4 linked regions of the Mytilus edulis genome follow. The protein of the gene in region 2 purifies or fractionates together with the protein of the main gene of each other region. This does not show direct contact. Links are inferred from orthologs where the notes say so. Each region holds a gene or a part of one and is shown on either strand. Other genes may lie near its edges. The genes, in order: microtubule nucleation factor SSNA1-like, mitochondrial intermembrane space import and assembly protein 40-B-like, FAD-linked sulfhydryl oxidase ALR-like and cytochrome c oxidase assembly factor 7-like.

Evidence for each region.
Region 1: the proteins of mitochondrial intermembrane space import and assembly protein 40-B-like (region 2) and microtubule nucleation factor SSNA1-like purify together in Homo sapiens (co-immunoprecipitation; 3 studies listed by BioGRID and IntAct, with this or other methods). This does not show direct contact. The link is inferred for Mytilus edulis from reciprocal best matches to the Homo sapiens genes CHCHD4 and SSNA1.
Region 3: the proteins of mitochondrial intermembrane space import and assembly protein 40-B-like (region 2) and FAD-linked sulfhydryl oxidase ALR-like purify together in Homo sapiens (co-immunoprecipitation; 3 studies listed by BioGRID and IntAct, with this or other methods). This does not show direct contact. The link is inferred for Mytilus edulis from reciprocal best matches to the Homo sapiens genes CHCHD4 and GFER.
Region 4: the proteins of mitochondrial intermembrane space import and assembly protein 40-B-like (region 2) and cytochrome c oxidase assembly factor 7-like purify together in Homo sapiens (co-immunoprecipitation; 3 studies listed by BioGRID and IntAct, with this or other methods). This does not show direct contact. The link is inferred for Mytilus edulis from reciprocal best matches to the Homo sapiens genes CHCHD4 and COA7.

What each region holds. Positions count from the first base shown.
Region 1 is NC_092345.1:24,957,487-24,964,405, forward strand, and holds the start of microtubule nucleation factor SSNA1-like, read left to right. Parts: upstream 1-3,902; 5' UTR 3,903-4,023; coding exon 4,024-4,075; intron 4,076-6,919. Other genes in the region: uncharacterized protein, read right to left, coding at 994-1,089, 2,784-3,055, 3,388-3,415. UniProt on the Homo sapiens protein: Microtubule-binding protein which stabilizes dynamic microtubules by slowing growth and shrinkage at both plus and minus ends and serves as a sensor of microtubule damage, protecting microtubules from the microtubule-severing enzyme SPAST.
Region 2 is NC_092344.1:2,158,760-2,166,111, forward strand, and holds the start of mitochondrial intermembrane space import and assembly protein 40-B-like, read right to left. Parts: upstream 3,029-7,352; 5' UTR 2,980-3,028; coding exon 2,958-2,979; intron 2,374-2,957; exon of another isoform or gene 2,353-2,373; coding exon of another isoform or gene 2,343-2,352; intron 1,533-2,342; coding exon 1,443-1,532; intron 1-1,442.
Region 3 is NC_092352.1:29,570,014-29,576,861, reverse strand, and holds the start of FAD-linked sulfhydryl oxidase ALR-like, read left to right. Parts: upstream 1-3,841; 5' UTR 3,842-3,877; coding exon 3,878-3,979; intron 3,980-6,848.
Region 4 is NC_092344.1:118,813,647-118,821,265, reverse strand, and holds the start of cytochrome c oxidase assembly factor 7-like, read left to right. Parts: upstream 1-4,612; 5' UTR 4,613-4,681; coding exon 4,682-4,805; intron 4,806-6,878; coding exon 6,879-7,031; intron 7,032-7,619. UniProt on the Homo sapiens protein: Required for assembly of mitochondrial respiratory chain complex I and complex IV.

The sequences.
Region 1 (6,919 bases), on a different chromosome or scaffold from region 2:
TGGGTCAGTGATCAGGACTCCTTTCCGTACACATTCCTCGGTTTTTAATATAACACGAAGTTTATTGACAGAACATTAGCTGATCTTAGCTCGAAGTGTTGTTTTGATTCAGAATTCATAGAAGTTACTTCCGGAAGGGAGACAACTAGAAACGATAATATGGAAGACTCCATTTCGCCTGAAGGTACCAGTCTTGTATTACAACTCCAATTTCCGGTGCATGTCAAAACATGGACGGAAACAAAATAGTGCATTTTTTTCTGAATTTTTTTCTGAACTCAATTTTTTCTGTTTGATTATAGGTTTATGCTGAATTGAAACATATATATAGACTTTAAAAAAAATCTTGCATCTTTTGGGGATATCAATCCAGGAAAGTGGAAGGATATCATGTTTACTGGAAGTGGTGCGTCCTAGTAAAAATAGCAAACAGAAAGTAGAAAAAAAATGTTTTGACTTCAGGATTGCGTAACTTTTTATTCTTTGTGGCAAGACCCCCTTTTTTTTCGATTAAATCACAATTTCACATTAGTACATACATGATATGAACATGAATTTTTTTTTCTATGTAGCATTTTTTATTTTTTTATTTTCAAAGATCAGCTGTTTTGCATGTAAGCCTATGGAGCAGTCAATTACAAGACTGCAACCTGAAGGGGTGTTTTACGATGCGGACTACATTTATTTTGATTTAAATGATGCATAAGATTTAAAATTATGCAACAACAATAACTCTCAATAGAAGACATACATAGAAAGGATCCCATGAGTTATAAATTAGTTAATTGAGTGGGGAATCCAGAGCAACCATTCAATCTAAAACTCCTTAAAGTCAAGAAACAATACGCATGCGCATAATTCCAAAACAAACCCTTGAGCAAGAACGTATATTAAATGTTTATTAAACGACCTAGATGGTTCTCTATTTCTTTATGGAAGTACAATCTCAAATATCAGTTTCATAACGGTAACATATAAGAAAAACTCTTCTAATCAAATTTCTTTATTTGTTTCATAAGTATGATTTTCTTTCAGCATAGTTGTCTGTCTCTTTAAACTGTTGATCAGTAGTTTAGACGTCTCATTTATCTGCAAAACAAAAGATGACTGTGAAGGCATGCGTTAATTTCTCACGGCAAAATATTTTCATATAATTTATCTATTATAAAAAAAATGTGGTATGTTTGCCCATGAGACAACTCTCTACAAGAGGCCAAATGACACTGAAATTTACAACTATAGGTCACCGTATGGCCTTCAACAATGACCAAAGCCTTTACCGCATATATATATAGTCGGCTATAAAAGGCCATGAAATGACAATGTAAAACAATTCAAACGAGAAAACTAACGGCAACATTTTTGTACAAAAATGAATGAAAAACAAATATGAAACACATAAACAAACGACAACCACTGAATTACAGGCTCCTGACTTGGAATAGGCACACACATACATAATGTAGCGGGGTTACACGTGTAAGCGTGATCCCATCCCCCCCCCTAACCTGGGACGGTGGTGTAACAGTACAACATAAGAACGAACTATAAAAATCAGTTGAAAAAGGCTTAACTCATCAGATGGACATTAATACAAATACTACAAAATTACATAAGTGGACGTGGCAGGGTTCTTGGATATCCCAACAACAAAAATTAAGACACTAAATACAGATATGGGAGTACTCGCATATACTGACAGCTAGTTCAAAGCCACTATTTTATAAGACTGAATTATCAATCAGTACACATCCAACATCCAATTGATTTAGTGTAAAGATGTCATAAAAATATGATCAAGAGTATTCATTGAAGAAATGATTTTATAACAAGCAATCAGGAATGTTATGTCACACTCGATAATATCCACGTATTCAATATACGAAATACGTTTCACGGTTTGGGTAGCGCACAAGGGACGTGTGTAGAAATTTCTGCGGCAACATAACACCGGTCTCAAGGTCACATCCGAGGTAAAAATCAAAAATTAAAAAATAAATAAGAATAAAAACAAGCTCTGTAGTTTAGCTGCAACCTGAATCTGCAGTAGTTCGAACCTTAATTCTAAAGCGAAAATTAACCCAGAGTTTTAACCTAGAACTTGAATATTAACTCAAGGTTATACTCAAATTCTTACTAAAACTGTAATTCAATGTTTAACTCGAAGTCTTGAAGAAAATTCAAATTATATTACACTCCTATCTTTATCATGTTTACATTTGTATGTAAGTGGAACTTAAAATTGCTAAAAAGATTCATGTAAAACATAACCTAGATCAGCTTTAATGAAATAAAATATAATTTGATAGTGTGTTTGGGTGTATTTCTTTCCATTCCTTTTCACCGAATTTTTTTTTGTACATTTGTGGCAAAGAGGGCAACTGAGATTCCACATTACTGAAGTATATTCGGGATGAAATATACATAAAAATGTGATTCAAAGTATAAGATTCTGAAGTGTTTTCTTACGACCGACAGGTGCCACATGTAGAGCATGATCTGCTTACCCTTTCGTGGTACCTGAAATCACCCCCAGTTTTGTGTAGAGTTTGAGTTGTTTATGGTCTTTAGTTTTCTATGATGTGTATTGTGTACTATTGTGTGTCTGTTTATCTTTCTTTTTTTCTTTTTTCGCCATGGCGTTGTCAGTTTATTTTTGATTTATGAATTTGAAGTCCCTCTGGTATCATTCGCCCTTCTTAAATGTTTACACGACATGAAACGGAATTTATTCATAAAGAAGAAAAAAAATAGTTTAGTCATCAAAAGATATCCAAGTTTACCTTTGCAAAGTTTTTTTCTGCTTCGGTAATTTGATCGATAATTTCTTTGCTTTCTTTTTCCTTTCCAGTAAGGCTTTCGTCTACTTTCTTCAGTCTATCAAGTCTTCCTTTAATTTCCGTCTGAAGTCGTGAACACTCGTGTGCTAATTGCTTTTTGTCATATTTTTCGTAGGTTTTCTCCCATAATGGAATTTCATTTAATCCATCAGCCATTTCAGGTCTAACTTTTGGATTAAATGTCCTTATATTGAGTTTGTGGAGCTTCTTAGAGCCTATCAAAATATACCGAATGAAATATTGTAATGTGTAAATTTCAAATGTATTTTCGTTCATAAATTATTAGATACTGACACATGACGAATATGAAGGAATATTCACATATACATGTATCATGAAATCGTTATATATATAAGAATTACTAATTTTATTGATGAATTTATTTTTCTTTCCGTTTAATGAGTGACTCAGTCTTTAATCTGTTGTTAATATTAAAAATGAGTTTCGACATGATGATTGACTCTCATTTGATCATGTCTCAAAATTTCAACAAATAAGATTGACCGACCGAAGCAATGCATTTCTATTTTAAGTTTAAAAACAATACCTTGTTGTTTGTCACAAATTCCACCCATCTTTGTGTTTGATTTCCATAATTAAAAATCTGCAAGAAAAAAGTAAAATTCAGTTATAATAAATATATTTTTTAACAGAAACCGGTTATGGTAATCATTACATTTTTGTTTTGGTTTAAAAAATTAACAATAATCTTAACCATTTATTGATTATTTCACAAAAGAATTTCACACAGAAACACACTTGTATTTAAACTTTCAATTCACTAGCAGTAAATTAAGCTGTACGTACGTACAGCTTAAAATTCAGTGATGTGATATTCGATCCGTTATTTACTTTGGGTGCTAAAGGAGGGGGTAATTGAATTATGAAAGTTCGAACGCTTGAAAATTTCTTTTTCTCTATTTGTCTCAACAATTCCTTATCCTATATTTCTTTATTTCTTTTTTTTCTTTCTTATCTATCCTAAATATATACGTTTTTGGCGACTCGAGAAAAATCCGGAATAATATCGTCATTATTCCGTAGCCGAAACACTTTTAATTTGAACAACATTCTTTATGACGTAGAACTCATTTTTGCTTATCAACACAAAAAGTGCAAACAAGTTTTGACAGCGAAACTCAAATTTACTTCATTCATTTTTTTGCTCTCAAGCGCCCTAAATATGTCGCAACAAGGGGCTGCTTTACAGAGTTATAATAACGAACTCGTAAAATGTAAGTAACAACCGTTAAAGTTTAGCATTTCATTCGTAACAAACATTTCAAGATTTTTTTATAAAACCAAGTCCAAAACAAACACACAAATACGATATATAATTCCAGAACTTAGTTTTCTATCAAAATTTCCTTTTAAGAGAGTTTTTGAACACAAGAAAACTATTGAACCAAGTAGTTAAGTCGAAATAATTAATCAGAAAATTGAACGAACGTCATCAAGATTATTTTGGTACCATGGTAGACAATTATGGTACATTTGTACATAGTCCAAGATTACTCTGACGTCCAACGGCTGTTTTGCCAGACAAGCTGGGGCCGTGGGACGTCAGAGCTCGTCCCATATCAAAAAGTGGACATTTGCAATGCCCACCCAAAAGAGATGCGCTGCTTCGTCGCTATTGATGCCGACTGACGGCCTTGGAATTATATAAATCGGGCATCAATCTATTAATTTTTCATTTATCTCTTCATTTATGTAAGTTTCACCTACCTGCGAACCTTTATTTTTCCATATTTTAAGTTTTCACAGTTACCCATCGATTTCGGCATTTTGACTTTCATTTTCAAGATAATTGTTTTTTACATAGATCTTGGTTCCTTTGAACTCATGTAAAAAAAATATTTATAGCAATACACTAACCAAAACATGATCATGATGATTAAGATTTTATCAACACATAAAAAAAACGTTGTCAGAATCTCACTTTACTTAGCAAATGCTTAGAAACAATGAATTAATTTTTTTATATAGAGCAGTACACTTGCCTAAACATGATTAAGATTTATTCAACACATTAAAAAAACGTTGTCAGAATCTCACTATATGTAGAAACAATGAACAAAAAATATTTATAGCCATACACTTACCAAAACTCGATTTTTAAATTATATTATTATACAGTGTTCTCCCCAGATATTTCATATAGCATCCTGGTGAAAAAGGAAATTTGAAATAGCATTTGGTTTCTAAAAATTATAGCATCACATCCATAACACAATCTATAAGAAAATGAATTCAGATAGCATCACATTAAAAAATATAGCATCACATTGCCATGATGCTAAAAGGCCATGGGGAGAATACTGATATAAATAATACCAATAAAAATTGTGCGCTAACGTGTAGGGTGCAAACAGACTTGAGACCTGTGCCAACGTGTAGGGTGCGAAATTGAAAGGGCACGAACATGAATGGGCGCGAACAGACCGATTCCAAGTGAAGCAGGATCTGTTTCTCTATCATGAGCATGATGAGGCCAGGGTAGTAATGCCTTTTACCGTCAGGCGTCAAACAGCAATTTTCGGCTACTGTTAGCTTCAAATTGATTAAAATTTTTACCCCCATTACCACCCTCTTTCATGTCTATCGGGTGAACAAAATTTCCTGAATATTCTTATCCTACATAATGTATCTGTCGATATATTCTTATATTTGATTACAAGATAAAATTAGCATACACATATAGGAAAGTGTTTCATGTTTTGAAATAATATTAATAGCCCTACAAGGAAAAAATTAATGGTCGCCCATTGGGACCAGAAATTGACCTGGGCAATCTTTTTATTCAGTTGTGGTAGCCCAGGTGGCGAATTGAAAAAAAGTACTTGACTAAAGGAAATCAGCTGTTTACTTTAGCTCCAAGTGTGGGCTGCTTCACTGACAAAAAATATCAAATCAAAAAGAAGAAAAAAATCTGTTTAAAATGTATACAGGCAAGTGTCAAGAGAAGTATTGTCGTAAAGTCACGGTCGCAATACACAAGGATGTAAAATCAGTGTTTACCTTAAAGCTTTGACTAAATATTATAAGTTCACGTTAATTCAGGTCACTGATTGGTCGTCCATTTAAAGTCGTAAAGTATCAAATGTTTGTAAGGACATGAAGGATATTAAGAGAGACATTCCAATACTTATAGTCATCAAGAATTGTTCGGTTTTGGCTTCAAGAAAGCGAAGTTAGTCAAAGAAGATGATAATAGAATATTATGAAATGATATCAGTCTGACAAATAGATATAGATTCTACCACTGCATCGAGGTAATACGATATTTATCCACTCCAGACAGTCAAATTTTCAAATATAAAACTCAAGGCTCGCCGAGCGATTTAAATATTTAAAATTTAACTGTCGAGAGTGGATAAATATCGTATTACACTAGATTTGGTGGTAGAATCTGTATCTCTAATGATTTTTAAACAATATGCAGGCAAACGTATTCCTTTCTTTCGAATGATCTGCAAAAAGATGTGTACTTTCTATGTGACGTCATCAGACACGGTCGCCTTTTTTCATGCCGTCACAATAGGAAATTCAGAGGAAAGCAAGAAAATTTGACGTCACAATTGGATTTTAACCAATGAAGCACTGAGATCAAACGAACCACACTTTGATTAAATTTTTTATACAATGGGTGCAGAAAGGGATAAATTGACGAAGGATTAGAGAAAAGAAAGTATAACATGTAATGTTGTTATATTAAGAATCTGGAAAACAGTACCTTTTGTAGTTTTGTAGTCCCTTTTCAAAGCCCATGTGGTGTCCAGAGAGTGAAGGTCTAAAACGAAAGTAGAATATTGTTGACCACAAATAAATAACATAAGTTCAAAATGATTTCAGTTTCCTACTTGACTAAACAGTTTACAAAAAAGATAAAATCAGATTCAGAGTAGATATAAATTTCATGACAATGCTTTTGAAATACATGTACAAATCTTTTTAGAAAATAAGGGGGGGTCATTTGTTTACAAATGAACTTAGTTAAGCAAAATAAAATGACCAAGATATTTAATAAGGCCAAATAATAATATACAATGTTACCCGACATACCCTTGTTTAAAGAT
Region 2 (7,352 bases):
TGACGCAGGAAGCATACCTATGAGGCTATGACGTCATCTAGTGTTGGGACCAAAGAAGATAACATCTTTTCACAGAATTTTCTTTATTGAAGAATTTACACTAAAATAATGATTGAAATTTAATTATGAACTTGTTTTGCATTAGAATAGAGATAACTGTATTGTATTTGAAGCTTTTCGGACGTCTATTGGTAGTTTTACTGTCGCAAATACCCATTTACCTGTCTCCCCTACGTGTCACCAGGTAAACTAAATTTGCGACAGTAAAACTACCGATGGACGTCCTTAAAGCATCAACTACAATATAGTTATCTCTTAAATATATCTCTGTACAAAGGGAGATAACACAAAATATAATTCATGAATTTAACTCTTGAAAAGTGACAGATATATTTGTTCATTCTTTGGACTTTGTTTATCATGTTTATAAGCATATTTACACTAATAAATTCATTAACTCTGTAATTTTACACAGCTACTTTTGCATAGGTACTATTTCTGTACTACACACTGTACTAAAAATCTGTAGTACTGGAAATTTACTTTTAAGATTCAGTACTATTTTGTTACTTTAAAATTATTGTAATATTTAGGTACATGTACCTGTATTTTACAGTAATTAATTTGTACTTGAAATTTATGTACTACAGATTTTTGGTTACCACTGTTACATTTTCAGCATTTTGAAAGTTTTTCTATTTCAAATCTCTTAAAACTATGATTTTCAAACATGGAATATTGTATTATTTCTGTACCAAAATATTAAGTACAATTCAAGTACTGTATTAAAATACAAGTACCTAAATATTACAATAATTTTATAAAGTAAAAGAAATAGTACTAAATATTAAAAGTAAATTTCCAGTACTACATATTTTTAGTACAGAAATAGCATCTATGCAAAAGTAGCTGTGTAGTACAAGCAAAGATAAAGTATATCAACATGTATTAAGTAAGTATCAAAGTTAGACGACAACTTATAATTAAACAAGAATGTGCCCCATCAACATTATCATTTTCTATGTTCAGTAGACCTTGAAATTGGGGGAAAATCTCTAATTTGGCATTACAATTAGAAAGCATAGGGAACATGTGTACTAAGTTTCAAGTTCATTGGACTTCAACTTCATCAAAAACTACCTCGACCAAAAACTTAAACCTGAAGTGGGACAGACAAACGGACAAACGAACGAACGGACGCACAGACCAAAAAACATAATGCCCACAAATGAAGCATAAAAACAGTGCCCTTATATAAATCGTGAATTCATTGATATGCTTTCAATGGTTGGAAGGTTGTTCACAGTTACATTTTTAACTATTTATAACAAAAGAACTCTGAGACTTAGTTCCATTTGAAGGCATTGCTACAAAATATAGGTTCTACTTCTAGAACATGTATCAAGTTTATCCCAAGGGATGTGCCAGTGTTGTAATCTTACCTGGTTCTTCTTTGGGTTTTTCTATAACAATATTGGCTTTGCAAGGCTGGTTCAAGTCCTCTACAGTTGCTATTACAACTTTGTCTTTCCCTGAAATTAAAATTTGCATACAAAATTATTCATCACACAATGACTAGTATAATTACACCACATCAGGGACAGTCCTACATGTCATAATTTTAAATTTGCATTATCAATTATATTTAATCAAAAGTTGTACAGTGAAACCTGACAACAAATACCAGAATCTTGTTTCAGTGATCACCTGTCTGTAATTTTCAATCACTCCCCCTCCCCAAAGGAAGTTTACTCTATATAAATGAACTCTTTTCAACATGTTCAATGGTCATCTAAGTTTTGCACAAAAACATTTTAACTTTTAACAAAAGCCATTCTAATTGTTGAGCTACATGTACAGTGTACCAATATAAGCATGACTGAAAATATAAGGTCATAACAAAATGTCGAAATTAAGTTTTGAATTGAAAACCGTATCACTATATCAGTATATTATAATTCCCCCTTGAAGAATAACATACATGTACATGTATTTCAAATGTTTTCTTCAAACTGCAATGTAGAAACCTGCCATTGCTTATTTTATTGCTCACAAGAAGGGAAACTCTACATGTACCTACATGTAAATAAACACTAAAACAATTTTCCTCTATACCAGCCGCAGGTCATATCAGAATAAGACTATTTCTGAACATCGTTTGAAAGGTCACCTTTCTCATAAGCAGTCACTTTGCATACTTACCATGAGTGACTGCTAATAGACTGTATTTTAATTACGCTTTTAATAAGCAAAATAGGTCAGATTAACATTTATCACTATTTTTCCAATAATAAAATGACATTAAAAGAAGGCGTCACAACATAAAATTAAAATATCCTTACAGGATATCATTAATTACTTGGACTAGACATGCTACAAACAAATCTAGACGACCCCTAATTGAACTTTGACGTAAACAGTCATTAGAATCAGAATGTAACCCTTGGCTTGAAAGGGGGTCTCATTGGGGGGTTCTGATCCCGGATCCCGCTTAAATTTTGTCAGATTCCTGTATCCTGCTTACACTATGTACGTAAGAAATTCTCATTTTTTTGTAATTACCCATGTCCCGCTAGACTTCATTTCCCGTTTTCACAGCACAATAATTTGACATTCACGCGTCACGCTTACCAAAAAATCAGCAATCACGCGTGACGCTTAGACTCCAATGAGACCCATTTGAAAGAGAAGCGTGGCAGTGCAGGATACAATATACTTGTACTATTATTATTTCACCATCGTTTATCATGATTAGTATCATTACCTGTCTTTGTACAGTATAGTAAAAAGATCGATTGCATAAGAAATCCTAATGTATATACCCCAGTTGAATTTGTAAGGAAACAGACCGGAATGGAGAATGTTCGTCCGATTTTTGACTTTGTGCACAGGTTTTGAATTGCTTAAAGTAACTAGAGTTAACTGTTTGAACGATTTACACTTGTGAATAACCTTACCTTCTTCAACACAGTAAGACATGTTGCAGGGAAATATAAGAATGGGGAGAGAAACTTACGGTCAATGTTTCTGTACGCTGTTACCTTCCTCCTATCTGAGGAGCACTTCTTAAAATGATTTTTTTTTAATATTTTAAAAATTAGTGTTTGACAGAAAAGAGAAAATATAAAGTGATATTTGCGATATTGAAGATGTCTGTAGGACATCAGCTATTTTCTCTTTTCTGTCAAACACTAATGACTGGTTGAAACTTTCCCAAAATCACGGTCTTGAAAAATAAATATTAAGAGTCTCCTTATTCATAACAAAGACATAAGGGATAAAGCATAAAGCATAACAGATTTATTTAAAGTCGGTTATGTAGAACTTATGTTGTATTGTTATATGTATAACCGACTTTAAATAAATCTTTTATGCTTTATGCTTTATGTCTCTGTTATGAATAAGGAGACTCTTAATATTTATTTTTCAAGACATTTTGGGAAAGTGATATATATACACATATGTGTAATATGTCTCTGCTCATAAGACGCTGATAGCACTTAATTAGAACATGAAAATAGGAAGGTAATGTTTAGTTTTGTTTATAATACTTATTAGGTGTATAAAAATATGCTTGATACATACTTAAATGAATACTTTATTGCAAAAAGCATAATATATGCTATAGCAACGAAACAGCAGAGATAAGTAAACATAAATCATTAAAGAAAACAAATAACATTAAGTAACAATTAATATGATCTGATTGACCACGCAGATTTTATGTAATTTCACATTTTTTTTTAATATGTAAAATATTCTATGTAGTATTGCTGCATCATTACAGTTTAATTTACTCAAGATATTTGTATACTAGTTGTATGAGCCGTTGCCAATTATTGTAATTGAGTTTGTGCCAATAAAATATTTGTATTTGAATTGTAAAGCAGACATTATACTTATATATCAAAATGGTCATTGAGTGTTAATATTTATTTAATTAAAATTAAATTTGCAGTATTTAGAAAAGGTGTTTCTTTTTAGCTAAGAACCTAAATGTCAAACTAATGTTTAGTATTACTACAACACCTTCTGCTATTCTGTCGCATAGTTTGTGTTTATGTATGTATTAAATGTATCTATTGATGCTGATGTTATTCAAATTTGTACCTATAGTTTTGTAGACTTTGGTAATAAAGATTATGATCTATCAAAATAAAGCTCTAGACTAATATGGCAGTCATCTCCGCACTTGGTAGATTCCCTTTATAAATTGACATACCGGTAAAACTTACTTTATGTTCATGTACTGATTTATACTTGAACGCTTTCCAAGTGGCTTTTTCAAAGTGAATTTAAGAAATGATATTCTTGGTTCTTGAAATTAATGTTCAGTAATGAATACCCTCTGCTGTTAAAATATCTGCTGTCAATTATACCTAGATTTGTCTCTCTTTATTCACAAAGTTAGGTCCAATATAAAAAAGAATATGTCGTATGATTGCCAATGAAACAACTCTACACAAGAGACCAAATGACACAGACATTAACAACTATGGGTCACCGTACGGCTTTCACCAATGAGCAAAGCCCATACCGCATAGTCAACTATAAAAGGCCTCGAAATCACAAATATAAAACGTTTCAAACGAGAAAACTAACGGCCTATAGTTAATGTACAAAAAGACGAACGAAAAACAAAAACAGCAACAAACAACAACCACTGTCGAAAGGTTTCGGGAGAGAGTTCTCACTGATATCTACATGTATGTCAGAAACTATATTAGATTTGTTATAAGTTAGGGAGAGAGTTCTCACTGATATCTATAGCAGAAACTATATTAGATTTGTTATACGTTAGGGAGAGAGTTCTCACTGATATCTATATCAGAAACTATATTAGATTTGTTATAGTTTGTATAGTTGAAGAGTTACAAATCTGTTATCAACAAAGTCGACAATTTTATCGTAGGTGCTCTAGATATTTTATAGGCGGATTTATTATCATTAAAAAGATTAATTTCAAAATCTGAGTCCTAACCAATGAGCAATATCGACAATCGCATGGATATTCAAAGATTATTACAGAATTTATATATCAGCTTCACCTTTAAAACATCAAAAGACTTTCACCAAATTCCGTACAAGGTACTCACTTTTCTTCTCAGCTGCATATATATATATATATATATCAATAGGAAATTCCTACTTGTGTTTAAATTAGGGACCTTTAAATAGTTAAAGAACTCACTCCTCATTTAAACTGTATCATCAAATACATATTACACCATTTCAATTCAAATGAAACAGGATTTACTTATTCCAACTAACTCATCTTTGATAAAGATAACATGACCTTTAACCTAGGTACTACAAAATCGATTAATGAAGACACGAAATAAATCAGGAAGTTCAACTCGTACGTCGGTAAACTATAAATGGACAATCATAAGACAAAATCAATTTGACTTCTCAATTTTAGACTATTACCATTAAATCATAGTTGTTTTTATATCCTTAAGTTGAACTTCCTTATTTGCCTAATGGGTCTTTACTGTATATAAATATATATAATTCATAGATTTGAATAAATACTGAAGTCACCGGCTTGTTTAACCTCGATCATTCATCCATGCTCTTTTCCTTACCACATTGTTTAACCTCGATCATTATATCCATGCTCTTTTCCTTACCACATTTTTTACTAAAATGATCAAATTCATTAATAAATATCTACAATATACAATATTCGTCCATTATAGTAAGGTTGAAGGTTGGTACATTTAAACATTTAAACATTTAAACCCGCTGCATTTGTTTGCACCTTTCCTAAATAAGAACCTGTTATTTAGTAGTTGGCGTTTGTTGATGTGGTTCATAATTGTTTCTCGTTTATAGGTTGGTTTTCCCATTTGGATGGTTTTACAGTAGTAGTTTTTTAGGCCCAATATAGCTTGCTGTTCGGTGTGAGCCAATGCTCCGTGTTTAAGACCGAATTTTAAATAGTTTTTCTTTTTACAAATTGTGACTTGGATGGAGAGTTGTCTCCTTGGCACTCGTACCAATTCTTCTTAAATCTGTTATAGGAAAATATATAGGAACATGTATATAAAGATAAGGAAATATGGATTGAATGCCAACGAAACAGCTCTTTATCAAAGTTCAAATGAAGTAGTTGTAAGCAATGATAGACAACCGTACGGCCTTCAAAAACAATTATCTGACGAATTCTGAAAACAGATAGTACACGAAACTCGCGAACCCCGTTTCGTAACAATTACACATAAATGATACATTTTCTACATTGCACGAATATGGGTTTTATCTTGCAATTCAACATATTGAGCTTTAAGGTATAGTTTAGATTTGTTTCTTCATCTTAACCGTTGTTGAATGAAATAGACATGATTTAGACTCGGTCCGCAATGTCAAAGTCTTCTGAATCTACTTAATATCGCTTTCTGAGAGTTTTGATGACCTTTGTTCGTTTACACCTTCATCACCCGCTATGGTTTCATTACGTTAGAATATTCTTTTTGCACTGCGTTTGTAATTTCTCAAATGTTTGAGAGATTATGCACTTGGCAAAGGATGTACAAATACATTTTCTCAAGCATACATTATTTCTTGGGATCCAAACATATTTCAGCATGAACAATTTCGAAAGGTAATATTTCATTGTCCTAAGTTTATAAAACCCTAACACATCAGTTGGAGCTATAACTTCAAAATAATTATGGATTCCATTAGGTACTACGCTCGAACATAGGCTAAACGAAGAGGAGTTGAACTGGACGCTTTGTCATAATAGGTCAAAACAATCAGGTCTCATAATTGGAAAAACTGTGTGAATGATCGAGTACATTTTCAGAGAAACTGTAAAAAGTCTAATATCTCTTCATGATAAATGTGTTGTTATTCCTGCGGATAAACAGCTTTCAAATAATGTTGTTTTCTGTATATAAATCGTACTAATACGAGAGTCTTGTAAAATAATTAGGAATAATTCGGTTAATTCCCCATACAAAAACATATCATTTGACCAGGATGATATTTTGACGAGTCATAATTCGATCGTGGCTATAATGAAAATTATATTAAACAGCAATTCGGAGGAATTTCCGTGTTTGTGTTGGATACACAAGCATCAGACAATTTCGTACAAAGACCGTTTTATTGCACGCTCATCTGCATTTTTTAAAAAGGAATTGTCAATTTTAATAAAAAAAAAATTCTGTTCACAGTTAAAAGGAAAAAAAAAAATATCATCTCCGGGGAAAGTCTTCAATCAAATGGCAAAATCAAAAGCTCAAACACCTAAAACGAATGATAACAACTGTCATATTCTTGTTTTGATACAGGTATTTTCTTATGAAGAAAATGACGGACTGAATCTGGACTTATAGCTTTTA
Region 3 (6,848 bases), on a different chromosome or scaffold from region 2:
TAACGGAATGCTTAGATTTAAAAAAATGTTATGTACAATAAACGGCAAAAATATGTTTTATACAGAGCATGCATCAATAAATCAATATGTTAAATTTTACAAAAATTTTGTGTAGCTCAAGCTACAAAGATATTTTTTGTCATGCATCCGATTTCACCTACTAGATAGATGCACACGCCCGATGAAGCTAATTTGTTTAGCGAAATATTGCGTGAATAATATATAAAATATAACAACTAATTGTATAACATTCATTAGTGTGTTAAAGTTACATTCTAACTTAGACACTTATATAATTTAATTTAGTAACTGCATCAGTTTATTTACAAACTGATCCACGCCTAGATAGATTGAATGTTGATTGTTGTTATTTTTAGACACTATATATATATTTATACTTTTTTCACTTTTTTGGTCTTTTGGAAAATGTTGTTTGTGCTGTTTTTAGACCCTTCTAAAACGAAATTTGTTTTACATGCACACGTATAAAAATTGCGGTTTTTATCCAACGCAATCATAGGTTTGAACGTAGTGTTCAATTTAGATTCGTTTATATTTTTTCGTTTGGGCTTGTTTCATATTTTCCCTCTGGTTTATATGATCCGTTCATCCTATATTGACTCTTAAAATTCAAGAGTCTATCTAAAAATGCGGGTACTTTTTATATGGCCTTCCAAATACCGTTTCGATCCCTATAACATCACTTGAAGAGACATCTGGTGAACTAAAAATATATTGACACCGTATGTTTGTGGCATAACATCGTGGCAACAAGTTATTTTTTTCTGTTTAGTATTAAATTTATATTAAGATCCATTTTGTTACATCTTGTGATCAATTTTATTTGGCAATCACCAACGGAAGTCAGCAGGGTTAAAGAACACCAGTTGCAAGTCAAATACGTTTTGTTTAAATATACTTTTTCACTTTTTTGGACTTTTGGAAAATGTTGTTTGTGCTGTTTTTAGACCCTTCTACAACGAAATTTGTTTTACATGCACACGTATAAAAATTGCGGTTTTTATCCAACGCAATCATAGGTTTGAACGTAGTGTTCAATTTAGATTCGTTTATATTTTTTCGTTTGGGCTTGTTTCATATTTTCCCTCTGGTTTATATGATCCGTTCATCCTATATTGACTCTTCAAATTCAAGAGTCTATCTAAAAATGCGGGTACTTTTTATATGGCCTTCCAAATACCGTTTCGATCCCTATAATATCACTTGAAGAGACATCTGGTGAACTAAAAATATATTGACACCGTATGTTTGTGGCATAACATCGTGGCAACAAGTTATTTTTTTCTGTTTAGTATTAAATTTATATTAAGATCCATTTTGTTACATCTTGTGATCAATTTTATTTGGCAATCGCCAACGGCAGTCAGCAGGGTTAAAGAACACTAGTTGCAAGTCAAATACGTTTTGTTTAAATATACTTTTTCACTTTTTTGGTCTTTTGGAAAATGTTGTTTGTGCTGTTTTTTGACCCTTCTACAACGAAATTTGTTTTACATGCACACGTATAAAAATTGCGGGTTTTATCCAACGCAATCATAGGTTTGAACGTAGTTTTCAATTTACACTCGTTTATATTTATCTATATATATACAACTCGTCTAAACATCAACCAAACAATGTTAGATCTGTAGAAAGCAATTTTTTTGTTCTTCCCTCGCCGGGATTCGAACCCATGCTACTGATATAACGTGACACCAAATAGCCTGCACTGTAGCCGTCCCGCTAGACTACACGACCACCTGGGCTTCTAATAATTAAGCTTTCGGTAGCCGTGTGTTACCTTTCCTCGTCAGTTTTAATCTAGCGGCGTACTACAGTACATGATATGTAAGGCATGGAGATGTTATTGTAACAGATCAGCTCAATTTTCTATAGTAAAGGATCTGACAAATTAATGCAGGATACAGTCACAGAAAATAATTATATCAAAAAGTACGTCTGAGTCAGTGACAACTCTACAACAGATCATTATCCATCGGATCACCAGCAATGATGGTGATACATGGCTGTGTACATTATGTATATACAACTTCGTCTAAACATCAACCCAACAATGTTAGATATATATTATATGTATATATATATATAATATGAACAAGTCTAAATTGAAAAAATGTACGTTCAATGACAATATAAAGAAAGAAGATGTGGTATGATTGCCAATGAGACAACTATCCACAAAAGACCAAAATGACACATATTAACAACTATAGGTCACCGTACGGCCTTCAACAATGAGCAAAGCCCATACCGCATAGTCAGCTATAAAAGGCCCCACCTATTTGCGTTGGATAAAAACAGCAATTTTTATACGTGTGCATGTAAAACTATATTAAAAAAAAAACGCATTTGACTAACACAGGTCATATATAGAAGTTTTGTTACTGAAAATTAATGTTTTCTCTTTTTTCTCATATTCCCCATTTCCATTTTCAATCTTATTGGTAAAGTAGTCAGTGCTCTAGCTCGCAATATCTTAGTTGCTATTTTATCTAATCCTGTAGCCGTTTAACATTGATCTCCCCTACCCAGGGACTTTCTATACTAAAGTCCCTGCCCCACCCTAGTTTCTCTAGAGTGTAAACATGAAGAGGTTAAAAAATTTATTATATGTTGTGTTATCTTTTAAAAGTTTAAGTACCTTTGTATTTATTCAATGCTAAACTGGCATATGAAAATTGTATAGAAAATACACAGCTCCCCCCCCCCCCCCTGTACTCTCACATTTGGCAATTGGTTGCTATATAGATGTCTAGCGAATTATACGGTTATAAATTAAGATGTTGATTAAAACAAAGATAAATATAGACCAATTCAAGTACACCTTCGATTGACGACAAGACGACTATAAAGTGAGCACGTTTGGAGATACTTACTTAAAATAATTATATACTAAGTTATACTATCGTATATACATTCATCTGAATCAGATAGAAATTAACATAATCAAGATCATCTATATAACCTATCTATTTTCAACACTTTTGTTTTAAAACTTCTACATATAGTGTGACTTGTTGTTAATACAATTTGGGGCATGGTAACCTTTTATGAAATTAAGCTGATTGATAAGAATGCTGACAATCACCAGAGACATTGTATTTTGTGTCTCTGCAATCACTAACACCAGTTTAAAAAAAAAAAACAGTGTTTTGTGAATGAACACAAACGACGGCGAACGACATATTTATAGTCTTTTTTTTCTTAGCTGTTTTTTGTCAGTATATTGTCTTAATTTTGTATGCCATAACCTGAGACTACTATAATACATTATAGTAGTCTCATGCCATAACCATTTATGATGTAAATGACATTATGCGTTTGTACTAATAAATATTGTCTATTGTCTAATAATTTAATTTTGGATGTAACGCGTCTTCTTATTGGCTGACGTTATTTTGTTATCAGCCCATAGACATAATTTAGTAATGTGACGGTGACGTTATCAACGTTTTTCGTGGTTTTCTACGGTTTAAAATGGAATTTAGAATTAAATTATAAGAAATGACTGTAATATTTTTTCTGTCTATTCGAAATAGCATAAAAAATGTGGTGCACACTATTAAATAACCCGCTAGGGGCGTTATTCAGTGTGACCAAATTTTTTATGTTATTTCTTCATAGAAAGAAAACTAATTAGTCGTTCCTTAATTGTTTAATGTCTGATGTCAGAAAAAAAATCAGTCACATTAAAAAACACGTAGAAATCCGGAATTCATTATACAAGAAGGGATATTTATAAGGGAAAATGCAAAGGAAAAAGCATAATATATGCCATTAAAATACTTTACTTCACGGGATCGAAGTCGCCGATCATGAATATAGGCTCTACCGTTTCAATCAAAACGCACCCAACATGTCAGCCTCCAGTGGAACGTTCGTTGATCCAGACAAAAAACCTTGTCGAACATGTGTAGACGTTGAAACTTGGTTTAAGGGGACAGGAGGAACAGAAAAGGTTATATATTGTTTATAGGAAATATACAGGTTGTTGTTGAAATGTATGTCGTTTATGACTGTCTGACGTAATCCCGGCATAATTTATTTCATCAGATCGGAAACTACCTCGATGTATAATCCACCAATTGACATATATTGATATATAGACCAATTGACATATAATGCAAGTTTTTTGTAATCAAATGCTATAGTTTACATCGGCACAGGTTTCTGCGGAGAAACCCGAGGGTCCTGGTTGCCTTTCCTGGAATCCGGGTCCGTCCGCCCTGATTCTGGTTCGCCCTAGTTTCTGTTCGCCCTAATACCTGTTTGCCCCGAGTCTGTTCGCCCTGATTTTATTTTTTAGTATAGTGTTGCGTTGTGTGTATATAATTGAATGTGTTGAAGTCAGTCTACAATTTCGGTATCCGGTCGTTCCGGCCCCAAACCGATCCGGCCCCAAGTCAATCCGGCCCAAAGTCGATCCGGCCCAAGTCGATCCGGCCCACGTCGATCCGTCCCCAAGTCGATCCGGCCCATAATAAAATATGAATTAACTATATTGATTTTGGAGAAATTTGTCACAAATTTTAACAGTATAAATGGAATTTGAAAAAAAAGTGTCCGATGATGGATGACAACAGGTCAGTGAAGTATTGGAGTACCAGTTAAAGAACCATTTTTAAATCGATACAAAAATGAGTGTTATTGTGTCTGTTTGTATCGCAGTTTCTACATTTTTAAATTATAAAGTTATTTTCCATGATAACTTTTACCAGAGACATATATATATATGTCTCTGCTTTTACTTTGAATTTCATAGCGATTTTTATTTGATTCAGTTCACACACAGAATAGTTAAATAAATATTTACAGTCCAATGGACCCGGCTATAAAATTTAACGCATCATAATGACTTATTTAATGATCAAATCATTATTCTATAATTGGTTTGTATATTCAACAGTTGTCTGATGATTGTGAACTAAGGTAATGTCACTCGTAATCACTTAATTCAATCTAATGCTGATTACTGAAGTTACGCAATGATTTGTATAGTGAAAATATTTTTCAAAGGCCTTTTTTAATTTTTTTTACCGTACACATAGTACACTTTTAACATTATAATAAAAATAATAAACATTTATGAATAACAATTAATATATATATATTTATTTTTATTCCTTAGAAATATATTTTTTATTGGGGCCGGATCGACGTGGGGCCGGATCGACGTGGGACGGATCGACTTGGGCCGGATCGACCCGAAAGCTACAATTTCGTCGAATATTTACGATGAATCATGTTAACTTGTCTAAAGCTAGCAGCTACTAGATTATAACATTTGTATAAGTTTCTGTACATTTCAGGACTACAAGATATTGTGGCTTCAAGGTATTGAGGACTTAAGTTTGTATCTGTATGTAATTATGTTACTAGGAAATATAAGTTTCTGTGAATTTCAGCCCTACATTGTTCTTTTAAATGTAAAACAACTGAAGACTAAATTATTTGTATGAAATTGAATATGTTGAAGTTTACATTCACCGAATATTTATTTATGATATGTTTTCTGTGTAAACTTGAACAACTGAAGACTATAAGTTCAGTATTATGTTGTCTTGCTGCTACGAGGATAAGTTTCTGCGAATTCAAAGACTACAAAGTATTTGACATAAAACAATTAAAGACTAAGTCTATATTTAACTTTATTGATACATTTTAACACATTTATTTCCTAAACAAATATTTAAAAGCACTAAATAGAATTACTATTAGTGAAACAAATACCAAAAACACAGTCACACTGCTGTACATTGATCACTTGTCATCAGTGTTTCTACCCATCCAAGCTGACTTTTTTATTTGAGAAAAATGTTATTTTCATTATTAATCCATCAAAAACAATTCATTATCATATACATGTAACAATCAGCAGTGATATCAAAGATTTCAAATGATACCTAATCAGCAATGAAAATTCAATCAACAGTAATTAAAAGTAATTAAAAGTAATTACAAAATAAAGTGTAACAATGCAGCCACGAATTTTATTTAATTAATATAAATTTGGCAAATATTCTGTATTTAACTCCAAGGTACTTTCAACTATCAAAAACTTCTAGTTGGTGTCAGTGCAAGGTGTATGTTGTTTGCAGGGTGTTGCGATTGTTAAATATCCTCATGACTGTGCATTTTTCTGGATGGAAACACATCTGCCACTTGTGTTCTCACTCTTTCAAAGCAGTGAGGTCTCTGTAGAGTTGCAGCATCATCAGGATTTCTAATTTTCCTGTACACCAGCTGGCTATCGTCCGCAAACAACCTTGCATCTGAAGATGTACACTCTGGCATGTTATTGATATATGTCAGGAATAGTAGAGGACCTAAGACTGTTCCATGTGGAACTCCTGATATTACATCTAAAGGAGTTGATGTATGTCCTTCTGGAACAATTGACTGGGTTCTACTGCTTAGAAAGTCCTTTATCCAGTTCAATGTTGATCCTTTCACCCCGTAGTGTGCCAGTTTCAAAAGCAAGCGTTCGTGTGTTACCTTGTCGAAGGCTTTTGAAAAATCCAGTAAGATGATGTCAGTGTGGTGCCCCTGGTCCATGTTTTTGGCAATCTGGTTCAGGGTTGGCAAAAACCCGGGTTTTATGAGTATTGCCCAGCCCAGTGGGAAATACTAGGAAAACCCGGGTTTTACTGGGTTTTAATGTGTAATACTGGGTAAGATAAAATACTGGCCTGAATTTTAAAGAGGATTCAGTGATCAAACTCAATTGCAATACATTTAAGATATTTATAAACACATTTTGATTTATAAATTAGTTTAATTGTTTGAGAATGATAATAAAAGTGTATATACATTTAGAAAAGTACTAT
Region 4 (7,619 bases), about 120 Mb from region 2:
ATCAATGTGTGTGTGTCTTTTAATTTTTTTAGATTTCTTTCTTTTCTAGATTGGATTTATAGAAAAGAAATCCTTACAACATGTAAAATAATGTATCTTAAAATATTTCTTCTTTTTCTAGTTATCACAATTTTGGATCTCTAATTTGTACCTGTTTTCAGATAGACATTTCAATGGACATATCTATATCTTTACACCTGTATCGTGTTGTCTTCAAACCAATCTCTGAAATTAATAATTCATATTTGAGTCATAACATATATATATAATGTTTAATAAATTGCAAAATGATAATAATCAAAATTGAGTTACAGTTAACATTTGCACTTTCAAAATTATCTGCAAAAGGAAAAAATATCAAAGAGCATGATTGCTCTGAGGGATACAATTGCCATTGTTTTCATTGATACATGTATGGCTTAAATTAAAATATTGTTTGTCTGCCCTTTACCGACCGACCCTATAAATTCGTTCCGCCTGAAAATCTTTTATTTGTATTTACCAGCAAGATTTTATATTATTTTATTTTTCCGTTCCTACAAAAAATCTTATATTTGTATTTCCCCGCTCAAAACTTTTTTACAGGAATTCTCGGGTTTTTATCTTTCCCGTATAAGGTCTAGTCCGTTTGGTATCATGTGAGCATTTGACATGAATACTTGCATTTAGAGTTTCAAAGCATTTGTTTGGAAATCGATGTTAAAAGCTTTGAAAAGCTTGATATGAGGAACGTTACTATGTGCCTTAATACTTCAAGAGTAGGGTTCATTAAAAAAAGTTTGTGTTTAATACAAAATTATCAATGTGTGTACAAAATATTTTGTAAACGCACGTTGTATCCTACATGTATGTAGGCATGGCCTTTGGTGATCTGTAGATCAGGATGATTATGCCTTCCACCAGCATTGGGTGAAAACAAGGCCCAAAATAAAAAATATAAATGCACAATATAAGATTCAGTATATTATAGAGCCACAATAATTCAGGTTTTGATCAAACAGAGTTTAATGACCCTTTGGACATCAATGTAGACCCAAATATAAATTAGGGCCCAATATCCAAATAGTAAAACAAGGTTAGACCCCCCCTTCCCCCCAAAAAAAAGAGTGTTAAAGCCTTTCACAAAATGTTCATCTCTTTCAAAAGAGTTCACTGAAGGCCAAAATGAGACTTAGACCAGTATTTTTTATCACTGGTGGTGGTTACAATATGATCATTGCAAAAAAACGGACAATTGCAGTGCATATACTGGCACTTTTTTATATTGAACATATGTTATCATTGTAATTACTTGTCACCAATTGATTAATTGATGTTTAACTTGTCACCAACTACACCAGTGATCGGGAAGGACGTGCGCCCTGCGCCAATAGCGCATATCGACCAGAAATGGCGCATAGAGTGACAAATGTAAGCGCCCACGTGGCGCACGATATTTTTCACTTCGTTTCGAAACCTTTAGATATCGTCAAATGGATTTCCGATCGTGTTCCTTACCGCCATGTGTGTATACACAACTATGTAATGTTCCTCCAATGATAGGAGCACCTATATATTTTTGGGAGTCTCGGGTGTTTTCATATTGTAATAGAACCATGCGGTTTAACGTCTCGAGTGTTTTCGTATGGTAATAATAGAACCATGCGGTTTAACTGATTACCCAAAAAACGTAATTAACTATCATTCTTGATATAATTTCTTAAAAACAACTTTAAATTTGTGAAATTTGGCTAGTAAAGACAAGATTTATCTCTAATTATAATCTTTTAAGTTAGTTTAGCTTGCTATCATTTCGATTGAAAAACCCCAAAGCCTTTGAATGAATATAGTTTTTTGTCTCCACAAAAGGCGCTTAACTGTTCTTGTCATATTTTGGTCTTTGGCTCGTTTTGACATTTTGTAAACATGACTTCAGCGAATTGTTGTTTTGTTCTATCAATTAACGATACTCTCTACTGTTAGTCTTGTCATTGTCATGAAGTAATAATAATACAAGAAGTGCAGAGGAAATGCCAGAAATGTCCTCTGATACGGAACGTCTGGAATAAGTATGGTTTCGACGAAGACCCAAATGTAATGTACAAAAAAAACATGAACATGTACAAGGCAACAAAACCAGTTTGAATATTGTAAATAAAGGTTATCTTAAATATTGTCCGGTTTGTAGGAAGTTAAAATAACTTATTGTATATTCATTGAAATTGAAATTACAAAATCACAGGAACAATATCCATGATATAATTTAAAATCATAAAGGTTTTAAAGTACCACCACCTCTCTGCACAAATATACTGATACCAATCTTTTTTACAGTGGTCAATTTAAATGGCCCACTCATTTGACAACATGGCCCATTGAATTTATTGTTGGGGGGGGCCTGGCCCATAGTGAAAAAATCCTTCCAGATCACTGCTACACATTCATGACATTGTGTGAATTTGTTTGTTCATTTAACAATTATATAGGATTGTTGACAAATGTGCCTGCATTTTAACCATGTTAACAGGGAATTGTTTAAAAAATATTCCATTGTTTTTTCTCTTGTTCTTATGCAAGTGTACTTAATCTTTAACCCTATGGTATAGATTATTTCAAACATGGGGCAAAAACATCTTAGGCCAGAATGACATGAAACCTATTGTAGAAGCCACATTCAAGTGAACCCCCTAGCTGTTGCTGAATACAACAATAACTATGTCTGTCGTTAAAAAGTTGGTACATTTTTGTTCATGTTATATAAATTCATGACAACTTGCCCCACTGGCAAATCACCCCACACTAATTCGCCCCTCTCTTGTTTACCAGCTCGCCCTTCTTTTAATAAGGGAAAAATCACACTGAAAATATATCAGACAACTCGCCCTACTTATGAAAAAGATTAAAATTCTATTGAAAAAAACTTGCCCCACTTAACGATTTATCGAAAATAAAATAAAACCCTAATCATGATCAATCTCCCCTCTTATAAATAAAAGAATAAAACTGTACTGACTTAAGGACAACCAACACACCTTTTAATAAATACTTATGAAAACCTTAGAAATGCATCTTGTTTTAACTCTCTTGGTTGAAAGAAAGCAGACAGAAGTAAGTACTGTATCAGCATTTCTGTGAAGTACGATGGTATTGACTATAGTCACTGTTTTCTGGTTAATATAATCACTGTTTTACATGATAAGTCAAGAATCATGAGTGTTTACATGTACATAATTTTATTGTCAGATATTAAATAGGTTTGCACAATAAGTCAATAGACATGATAGACAACTTTCGAGTTTGATGCATTTCCGTCAAAAACTTTGATCTTCGTGAACATCATTCGTGCGTTGAAGTCTGAAGTGTTTTTAAAATAAAGCGTATTGTATTTACATTGTAGAGGGGGGATAGGACCTTTATTGGGACTCCGGGATCGGGTGTTTTTAAGTTGGGGGTTTCAGAATTGACCCTTTCGGGATCCGGAAATTCTTTTTTTCAAATTTCGGGACTTCAGGATTTAGATTTTTTAAAATTGGGCCCTGATCATGATTTCGTGTTTTTAAGCCCGGGATTTCAGGATCAGGACCCCTCCTACCCCCCTCATTGTAACTACATGTAGTCTATAGTTTCTATACACCTTATCATATTTGTCCACCATTACTGGACATCACACAAGTTCCCGTACATTTTGACGTCATAATTGACGTATTTACACTTGTATGCAAATTTGTCCGCCATTACTTAAAATCACACAGGTTCCCGTAAATGTTGACATCATAATTCAAAACATTTGACGTCACAACTTAAAGGTGATTGTTGCTTGACGTCAAAAGGTTATTCGGAGGTGATATATAAAGGTCATTCGGAGGCACAATACAGCTAAATACCAAAAGTGTAAATACGTTTATACAAGATATCTGATGCCACAATGAAAAAGTGATTGTTGTATGAAGTTGATAGTTCAAGCGGGACAAATTTTAGGGTCAGTCAGGATTAGCACTAAGGTGTATTAGCCAACACACATATAATTTTGTATGCCATAATCATTTAATGTAAATGTGTTTGTGCTAATAAGTATTGTCTATACCAGGAAGTTTTTCTTCACAAACAATATAATATTGTATGTGCAAGTTTTATACGCTTAAGAGGACATTTAAATAGAAAATTCTTTAAAGATATCAATTAAGGTACTTGCTTTAAGTGTATTTTGGTATCTGATGAAATCAACATGTGCACTTATTTGACAAAACAGAAAGCACTTTTGAAGTATTATACATCTTATGACAGTCATCGGTTCGATGCAGTTGACAATAAAATCAAATTATAAGTTTACAGAAACTGGTCAATATTTGAGAAAAATCACACATCGTATAACTTAAGGACTTTTTTTTTGCTTCAAAATGATGAAAACATAACAAACATGGCCGCTGGGATGTAAACATGCCAACTGTCAAACATTAAAAACCCGATCTGGCACCACCCTTGCACTGTCAACAGTTTGAAATGTATGAAGAATATAATGGGAAACACAGTATGTTATCGAAATAATTGTCAAAACCAACAACGAAAGCTGTCATCGAAATAAATCGAACATTTGTTGAACGTTTTACTTACTACTTGATTATTCTGGCGCGAACTGCCATCTGGTGGCAAACCACAGTTCAACTTTCGACAACTCAAGGTCGCACTTGTTCAATTATATAAAATGGCAACAAGTGCCAGTACCCCTTATTCGTATGATTTGTCGAACGAAGAAGATGTAAAACATTACCTTAAAAATATAGAAATCGAGTATTCATTCCACTGCTTTAGTGAAAAGAATCCTGATGGTAAGTTTGCAAATCGGACAACATAAATTGGAGAACGCAATCGAATAATTTGTGAAAGAAAATGAATACTGGTCGCTTTTCCGGATATAAATATCTTTAAGTAACATTTATAGTAAAGACTTTGTCAGGCTCAAAAATATGGATGAGGTCGATTTTAACCTTTTTTTCTGTTCCTATGATAGAAAATGATCTGATGATCAAAACCCGTATGATGATAATGTTTGAGATGTATTTTGCATGGTCTCACTATTAAATATATGACAAGAAAAATTATGGCGACAAGAAGACTATTCAGCTACGAGAAAACAAATTAAGCTAAATTTAGCGACAAGAAAGTTATTATTCTATCAATAAATATAAATGTATAGAAAAAATAATCAGAATTCCCATGGGGACTAACTGTGCACCACTTATTGCCGACCTGTTTCTGTATTGTTCTGAGTTGTAAATTATGACTGAAATCAGCAAAGACCCATTATAACAACATCTGTATCAAAAACTTAATAACACTTTTAGATATTTAGATGATATATCGCCTCTCAATAATGACAACTTCAGTATGTACCCTAAAGAGATTTATCCTGACGAACTGACTTTGAATAAAGCTAATACCTACAACAAACACTGCCCTTTCCTGGATCTTGATATCTATATCTTGAACAGGAAGCTCAATACAAAAATTCATTTCCTATAGTTAATTATTGTAAATTCAGAAATTTTTGTGTGAATTTATTATTGTGATTTTCTCATTTTAAACTAAAACTCAATTGTAATATTGCGATATTTGAGGAAAATCCTATTTAATTCATATTAAAAAAATCAAAATGCGAGCTTAAATTATTGCTTTGATTATAACCATGATAACCCTGCCACATTTTTTGCAATAATAATAATTTTTTAATCCATTGAGACTACAAGAATATGAGGATGGTAATGGCATTTCATCTTTTTTCAACTTCAGCTGGGCTATATGACTATTTGTTGACTCTGGAGATTACTCTGGAAATACAGTAAACGAAATACAGTTTACATGCATATTCTTATTTGCAAACAGTTTAATCCTGGTGTTCCAAAATTAAAACTTAAACATATTCAATATATTTAATAAAAACTTCTTTCATGACGAATGATTAATTTCTTCATCTATCAATATAATAAATAATAAAAGAAAATCACTTTATTACTGCCTATATATTAAAAAAATGTCAAGGTATATTTTTTATATATATTTATTTGGAATAAAAGTTTTAAAAAGTTTTCTTGACGCTAAATTCTTCTTCTTGTTGCTTTTGACGCTTCTTGTTGCAAATTAGTGAGACCCATTTTGCAAAACTTTCAGAATTTTGGGTCATCAATGACTCTTCTCTTCAACCAATTTTTAATTTATTTGGGGTTTAAAGTGCTTTGATTGGAGTGTCACTGATGAGTCTTTTGTAGTCGAAAGTCCTGTCTGATGTACAAAATTATTAGTCAAAATAAGTTTTTTTACAGCCACTCTGGCAAAATAAAATAGTACATCTGTCATCACACAACCCACATGCACACAAGTCCTCGCTATTAGATGTCCAGTATGGATTTTGATACCTAATGAGGTTGATGTGAAGTTTGTGGGGTTAGTAAGTAAATCATTATAGGTCAAAGTATGGCCTTCAACACGAATCCTTGTCTCAAACTGAACAGCAGAAGAAGAAGATGTTTATTTCCATTAAAAGGTCTCACAAGGAGCATAGTACAAGTTAAGACATAAATAAGATAATAAGTTAAGACATAAATAAGATAATAACAAAAAGAAAAAAACAATAGTCTAGTATACATACAGTTTGAATATCATGAACTACACAATACATAAACCTATAAAGGGCCCCCAAAATTACTAGTGTAAAACCATTAAAAAAGGAAACTGTTTAGAAACAGGTTTTAAAATACATGCTGAACTTGCCACTACATTCAACATGTTGATTAATGTGGGCAGTATTTGAAGGGAAAAAAAGAGAAATGCCTAACCTAATATATAAATGGTTCCATAAAAGATTGTATATTATCACACTTCATAAATTCTTTGTTTTTTTACAGGGTGTTATAGATTAGCATCATTTTATGACACAATCAAAATTGACAAAAAGAAAGCAATGAAGCTATATCAAACAAATTGTGATGATAATGAACATGGGGATAGCTGTAACAAATTAGCCAAACATATGATGCTGAAGGGAAAGCTTGGGGGAGGTAAGACAAATATATAATATTGAAGAGAAAAATCAGGGGAGGTACACATATATTCACATTATATATATAATGAAGGGAAAGCTTGGGGGAGGTAAGACAAACATATTATAGTGAAAGGAAAATTTTGGGGAGGAAACAAATATATTATAGTGAAGGGAAAGCTTTCAGGAGGTAATACAAACCTATAACAGTCTGAAGGGAAAGCATGGGTAGGTAAGACAAACATATAATGTTGAAGGGAAATCTTAAGGGAGACGAGGCATACATATAATGTTGAAGGGAAATTTTGGGGGAAACGTGACATACATATAATGTTGAAGGGAAATCTTGAGGGAGGTAAGCCAAACAAATAAGGCTGTAGGGAAATCATGGGGAGGTAACCCAAATAAATAAGGCTGTAGCTATAGGGAAATCTTAAGGGAGGTAAGCCAAACAAATAATGATGAAGGGAAAGATTGAGGGAGATAAGACAAACATATAATGTTAAAAGAAAATCTTGAGGGAGACATGACAGACACATAATGTTGAAAGGAAATTTGAGACTTAAGAGGTAAGCCAAACATATATTATGCTGAAGGGAAAGCTTTC